Oreochromis niloticus: one gene and its partner. The protein of the gene in region 1 interacts with the protein of each later gene in a pairwise test. Links are inferred from orthologs where the notes say so. Each region holds a gene or a part of one and is shown on either strand. Other genes may lie near its edges.

What was found.
Region 2: the proteins of mal2 (region 1) and tpd52 interact in a two-hybrid assay, tested with the Homo sapiens proteins (2 studies listed by BioGRID and IntAct). The link is inferred for Oreochromis niloticus from reciprocal best matches to the Homo sapiens genes MAL2 and TPD52.

Annotation. Positions count from the first base shown.
Region 1 is NC_031976.2:8,402,832-8,406,583, reverse strand, and holds the start of mal2 (protein MAL2), read right to left. Parts: upstream 2,547-3,752; 5' UTR 2,344-2,546; coding exon 2,215-2,343; intron 1,173-2,214; coding exon 1,002-1,172; intron 1-1,001. UniProt on the Homo sapiens protein: Member of the machinery of polarized transport. Required for the indirect transcytotic route at the step of the egress of the transcytosing cargo from perinuclear endosomes in order for it to travel to the apical surface via a raft-dependent pathway.
Region 2 is NC_031985.2:20,700,579-20,704,330, reverse strand, and holds the start of tpd52 (tumor protein D52), read left to right. Parts: upstream 1-951; 5' UTR 952-1,275; coding exon 1,276-1,399; intron 1,400-3,752.

The DNA.
Region 1 (3,752 bases):
GATTTAAACTAGTGCGTGGAAAGATGTTTAAGAGATTTTGTGCTGCTGACTCGGTGAGCCTCGTGGGTCTACAGGCAGGTCTTTGTTGTGTTTTAGTGTGAGCTCATCATCCATGTCACTCATTGTTCAGATGAAAACAAACAACACCACAAGCCGCTCTTGGGGCGGGGCTCAGAGCCTCGGGCCAGTGTGGCTCTGTCTGAGAGCCCAGAGTGGACACAGACATGAGTCCTTTATAATGACAACACAAGAACAAGGCACAACTTCTGGCATTTTTACTTATATTTAAACATTATAACATAGTTATTGCACTAATTAAACTTTTTTTTGGCTTCCTTTGCTGTGATCTATATGTTTTACTTCAATTTGAATGCTCAATGCTTTGATCCAGTCCTGGTTAGCATCTTCAGTCACGTGTCTTTAAAATTTGCTCATTTCACTTTAAAGCGATTGAGTGATTGTAAAATGAAGAAGTTATCTTATCTCAGTGGATCTCAGTGGGCCATATAAAGTGATGCATAACCCAACAAGGGAATCCATAAATCCTACGAGAGTCAGGGTAAATACAGCATAAATTTGTGAACATTGCATTGCCTTTTGTCATTGATTCAAAGCCCTATAATATCTTGTGTCATTTTCCAAGTTCTGTAGTGTGCTAAAAATGTAAACAGTTCACAGAGGTGGCACAATATCTACAACAAAAACAAAGGAATGAACATTACACAATTTATCTGCAGTCACACTGACAAAGCCTATTAATTTACCTGCAATAAAGGAGACTGTATTCAACAGCTAGCTCAACCAGCTAAAGAGAAAACTGACAACAACTGTGATACTGTATATTAGTCTATTGTAATACAACAATGTGCAATGGTCTAAACAGGTTTACTGACTCAACTTTAAGAGGGGAGTCTTTGTTTGATATGTAGACACTTCAGTACACCAGTTTGATAAAACATGACAGACAGGAAGCTTGACAAACTAATCTATCAACAGCTTACCAAGAAGTTCCAGTCCGTATTGATGCGGTCAGCCAAACCAGTGATGAGGAGAGCGAGGTAGGCGGAGGAGAAGACGAAGGTGGTTACAGAGACAAACATCACCCAGCCCTGCAGCAGGGGCACCGGCACATTGGACGAAGCCACCAGGATCCATACTAGACCACCAAATAACTGAGGACACACACAAGAACCTGTGTTAGTGACGGACGCAGTTATTCCTATATTTTTTTCACTGCATTAGCAAGGCTACTTTGAATGAGCCTGCTTCTATCCACTATCTCATCTACTTGCGTCACAGTGTGCAAATTCCTTAGACCATTTTCTTTTAGAGGTAACATGAGGGCAGCGAGTCAGCGGAACATATTATTTTATACTACTGCATCAGCTGGTGCATTCTTTAAAGTGATTTAAATGATATTGTAATGTTCTTTTGAAACACACCCTGAGGCTACAGTCACTTTTGTTTCTTGACAAAAGCAACCTGTTGCATTGTTTTCAAGGTACAACAAGTTTTAAGGCAGACTATGAGGATGCAAATGTTGTTGCTGCTTGGAGCATTTGGATACCGATCAGCAACAGAATGTAAGTCAAACTGCCATAGCTACAATGATTCATTCTGGAGAAAGACTGTCATTATCAACAGTATATACTACAGGTTTTATTCAGTGGAAACACCTTTAGCATTAGCAAAGTTTGATACCAGTCACAAGAAAACATTTGGCAGACTGAAGGCGCGTTTAGTCAGGCTGTATATGCGATAGACAATGAGTAAAATAACCACCAAGATTAGAGGACGCATGTAAAGGTGGAGTTGAGGTCACCTTGCCGAGTTATAGAATGCACTTCATTGCAGATGCAAACAACAAGTTATCTGCTCACTTATTAAAGTCTTAAAGTCATAAATAGTTCGTAACGAGATAACGCTCGTAGACCAGCAGGGTTACAGAGCTGCTTGTAAGGAATCACCGTGACGAAGAGTCACAGTGCGTAGCGCTGACAACGACACCGAGAAAGAAAAAAGGGGGAGAAATGGCAGGAAAAAATCCTACAAGTAAATGTCTAACTGGACTTTAACTGCAAGAATCATCAATTATTAATAAAGACAAAGTGACTATATACACACACACTGAGGTCACCGATAAATGTACAAATAAAACCAACAGGTGCACCTTTTGTTCGCTCTCTCCTTTTTAAATATAAAAACAACACTTACTATTTCTAAACAGAGGAGGGCTCCGGAATAAGTCCTCAACACGCCCAGTCCCAAAGGTAAAGTAATAGTTGCCGTTGGAAACGAGGTGGCAGCGGGGTTGACAGCGGGGTTGGCGGCTGGTTCCGACATCTCTCCTGTTTCTGTCTTCCCCCCTTTTCTCTTTCCCTCTCTCTCTCTCGCCCTCTCGTCTCCCACTAAAAAGAGCCCGTTAAACAAAGGACCGGGACAGCGAGAGAAATTCCTCAGGCGTCATATGTCCCCCAGAACAGGTCGGACAGGTGCAGGGGCCACTCCCTGGAAGACCGTGCTGCGTTCAAGGACATCACGGAAGTTTGTGCGCCCAGAGCCAATCTTTCACTCGAACGCCGGTGTTGTGCCAAAAAGTGATTGTCTGCCAGAAAGTGATTGCCGTCCGCGGGAGCGCAAAACTGGCTATTTGGCTCATTTTGAAAACAAGATTTGGGTTATACATGCAGTGGTTCAAGCTGAACAAAAAAATATTTACAAATAAATACTACTTTCACTACTATTACTACTACTAATAAAATAATAACAGTGAATTAATCTCACAGTCCGGGCAACAAATCACTTATTTTAAAAGGAAGTGTAAAGTTCTAACCGATATGTATACGCTATGAATAGCTATATTAAGAACAGAAGATAGAACACAAATAATCGTGTGATCCAGCTTTGAATTATTACTTTATGAGACACGGGATAGACTGTAGCTGTTGCCCAGAACAAGTAAATGTATTTCTTCATATACAAAAGACTGACAAGTGGGTTTGACTCAATAATAAAAGAGCTACTGTTATGTCCGATTTCTAGTTGCATTTAAGTTTGTACTGACTTTCAGAAAGGTCATAAAATGCTCAAGGGTGTGTAGCCTGGTGATGATACAACCATAGATAGGTCACTCCTTTATTTCTTTAGTTTGTTCATCTGAGTTTTAAGCTCTCCACACCCTCATTGTCAATTTCACATATCTCTGCTGTTATTAACGAAGGTAAAGGTTAACGCTCTTATTGCGATTTAGATAAATCTAACGCAAAGTGAAGGCAGCAATTTAACACAACGCTGAATCACTCTGTTGGAGCGCTTTACTCCCTCTGTGTGAACGGCCACCGGCAGGCAGACACCACAGCTATTAGAGTATTAGGGAGAGGCAAAAATCAGATAGCTGGAGTCATGACTAGACACTCACTGATCCGTGTTACAAAAGAAATATGGGCTAAGAAGCAGTAGTGCAGGTACTGGTTAACCTTCATAGTGCAGGAGGAAAGAAGCTTTAAAAGTAAATATTAGTTTAAGCAATGAAGTAAGAACCGAAGAGATAAAAGCACTGATTTCTAAACCGACACACACTTGCTACAAACACAACTGAAACGACGAGTTTTGATGAGTAATTTGTTGAAATTGGTGGATCACAAGGTTGTTATTATCAAGAAATGAAAATGCGGTTACTGTGGATGAAAAGAGAAGGTTCTTTTGAAAAGCCACTGTTAATGATTAGCCAGGATTTGTGTTATGTGAGCCAG
Region 2 (3,752 bases), on another chromosome or scaffold:
TAGGTGGGTAACTGAGCTGATAACCCCCAGACCTCAGTTTAAAACCAGTAAAAACTCAGTATAGGATCTTGCTTTGAGTCGACTTCACTCTAATGTTTAAACTAGCCGATGTTTGTTTTGTACCTCCTTCCACAATGCTCTCCGGCTCTTTCAGGGATTCTGTCCGTTCACAGTCATAAAACTTGTGCTGCTTTCAGTGCAACCTTGAAAGCTTCAGTGTCTAATATGTTGCCATCTACGCTGCTTTTTGCACATTTGATTGAAATGTGACAAGAATTGCGCTTATGTTTTCCTCTCTTTGTGCAGCCTAAATACCTGCTTTATGTCACGGCTCTTTCTTTTGTGTTACGACACGGCACAAAGTCTGCTTTCAGGCGAGAAAAACTTGATTAAAAGAGTTTGTTTTCATGTGATGAAGGTCTTGCATTACAGGAGCTTTCTAGTTCAGAGAATGCCATTGTGGCAGGCACACAGTAGCACTTGTTCCCTCTACCACTTCGCGTAGCCTCTGGCACCCTCTCTTCTCCTTTCTAGCTGACTAGCATTACCGCTGCTTCAAGCTGGACTGTCCACCCTGGATTAGAGCTTTGCTGTAATCTGGGACACTGCAGATTATGCTTTTCATCTAATGCGCCCCTACACAATCACATCACATGACCGGTCCACACAAATGGGGTCGCTCTCATTTCCTCCTCGATTGACAGGCTGGGAAGCGAGGGAGGGCGGGAACTGGCGGTGGAACCCGAGAGTATTGGAACAGGAGTACCGTGCGGTATCACAACAGCAGCTAGGCACCCGAAACAGCGATGGCGCACACGGTCTGCAGGATGGACTAAGAACTGACCTTTGGGATTATAGTGGAGAGGAAGTGGGAGGGTGTGTTTTTTGTGTGTCTGTGTGTGTGCGCGCTGGCTACAACAGCTGCTTGAGGGGACAGGTAACTTATTAACAGCAAGACAAGAGCAAAGGGCTCACAACACCTTGGCCCAAACAGAAACCGATATTTAGAAATTGGCATCACTGTAGTCACTCTCACCTTGTGACTACCTGAGGGCCGATACAAAACCTCCTTCCTTGTGCATGCACACACTTGGACACTCGAGTGTGTCTCCGCATGTCTAGCAAAGAAGGAAACGGACACAAGCAGCACGCGCCTGGGTCACATGCAAACAATCAGCAATAAGCACTCGGCTGGCTCTGCTTAGGTAGCGCTGGTAAAAAGGAGGTGGTAGTCGCTCCGGTCGGCAACGCGCTGAAAGCTGTAAAGAATAAAGCATGGACCCTCTGGAGGAATACCGCTCTCCGTTTGACTTTGAACAAGGAGTCAACACCAGCTATCTCTACCTCTCCCCAGCCTTAAGCGACACACCGCCCAGCTCGCCAGCTGTCAAAACCAGAGGTAATCACAAGGAGAGAAGGGAGAGGCCGAGTGAAGGGTGTGTGTTTTTCGTGTGTGTGTGCTTGCTGGATAAAAAGACAAAACATGGGTTTGGTTCATTGAACAGGAAGAATTTGGGGTGGGGGCACAAACTGGAGGGGGAGGGAACAAATGATGATTGTTGGCGATGCATATGACAGCATTCTCTCAATTTAGATGCTTCCAGATTTCAGAGTGTCGATCTCAGACCGTCATAACTCTTTAAACTTCAGTCATAATTATGCTGCTGTACCACACCACGCACCGTGCCCTCACTGCTCTCCATGTTTTCCTCCTTTTTCCTAGAAATGTAGAAAATAAGGATGCAATGACTGTAAAACTGTCAGTTTTTCTGTTTTGGGGAAACAAAGAAGTATTCGCTACAGTAGTTTAAAGTTATTCAGCTCTTTATCACGCTGTCTTTGAACATTTATCCAGTGCAGAATTGTTGGGACTTGTCCCATGGCTAAATGTAACAAGGACGATAAAAACCACCTCATTCTGCAGTGTTATACTCTGATTTTATCCGGTTCCTTGAATTACCACTTCATGTCCATTTCAGCTTTTGGAAAATCTGGTGTAGTAATCTGGTGTAACGTCTCATGAGGATCGTTTTTTGTCTTCTAATTCCAAATTTTTATTGAGTTAGATATAAACAGAAAAACACAGAACAAGACAGACACAGAGTGAGGCACACAGGACAGTTTGTACCATAAGTTATTGGGTGACATTTATTTGCCAAACGTCCAGTACAGACTGTCCATATCAAGTTATGCTTTGATTTTGTCTCATTTTTACAATTAAGCCTTTCCAACGAGTTCTCACAGGCAGAAGTGTTCATCATCTGTTCCCCAACCATCGTTCCTCCCATTATAGACTCATTCAGCTGTGGTAGGAATCTCCTGTTGTCATGGTACCTGGGTCAAGTTTTGTGTGAATTCATTATTCTTTCCTTTGCGTGATGAAAATGATTAAGAGTTTTAGTTTTGTATGGTTTAGACTTGAGTTTACTTTTTTTCTAGGGTCTCAGAGTCTGATATTAGTTTCCTTTCATGTCTCGTCCCTGTGTTTTGTCCTCGGTGTCTCCTGTGGATGTCAGTCTTGTTGTCATGTCCCGTCTGTCATAGTCTTCGTCTCTGTGTTCTGTCTTTAGCGTTTCCTTAGGTTCCCCAGCCTGTCTTATGTCTTCCTCTCCCTCTCTCCGTGTCTTAGTCATGTCTCTGCGTTGTGTCTCCTGTACCTGTTTCCATGTTCTTTGTCTCCCCACTCTGTCACGTGCTTCCGTGTCCGTTTACCTCCTATCCTACTGTCAAGCTTTCATGTCCTCGTCTGGGTCGCTATGTGTATGTCACTTCCTGTTTTATTTTGACAGTGCCTCGTCTCATGTGTGTTATGCTCAGTTTTGCTTCCCCTGTTCTGTTACTCAGATTTGTTCCAGCTGTGTTTCCACCTGTTGCCCTTCCTCTTGTTGTCCTGTGAATTCAATTCCTCAGTCTTCCTTTGTTCCTTGTCATGACATCGTCAGCTCCCTGGCTGTGCGCGCGCTCCTTGTGTCTTAGAGTTCCCAGCTCCTCGTAGCTCTGTTCATGCTGAGGTTTTTATGCCTCATGTTCTTTAATGCTAGCACTATAACGGTCCATGTAATCCAAAACATTTCTCCAGAAAGAAAAAAAATTTTCCCACAATGCATGCACATATATTTTCAGCATAAAGCATCCTTAAATAAACCCTTCTGTGTGGTCTAGAAGGAGTGTAGTCATCTTTTTTTTTTTTTTTTAATATCAGATAAATTTGCCCCCGGCTTCCCTGAAAAACTTCCCCCTTTTAGAAATGATGTTCTCCCATGACTCATCTTCAAATGTACAGCCAAGGTCTTTTTCCCAGGTCATCCAGAGACCACTGGTATTCCTGTTTGTCAGGGGCACCTTTCATACCACACAGATGTTTTATGGCATGCTGTTGAAAGTTGCAAATAACACAGTATGGGGTTAGTGTCTCGACGCAGCTGGATGCTTCTTTTAATACAAGCTCTAATTTGCAAGTATTTCCTCAAGAGGAGAGTTTTGATTGTAGGTATCCGGATCGCTGACTGTCACATTTCCTGTTGTTTTCGCTTGCGTGTTTGTTTACATAATAAGGTGGCCAAAATTTTAGGCACCACAATGTCAGAAAAAACTGCACGTATCAGTCAAGTTGCCACTTTTATATTAAATGTCATCATTTTACCCTGCTGAGCATTTATGCGAAATTTTCTTCTAATTGGTTATGGTTGACAATGTGCTCGGTGACCTTTAACCTTTGACTACCAGTATTAATTCATTCTTGAGTCCAATTA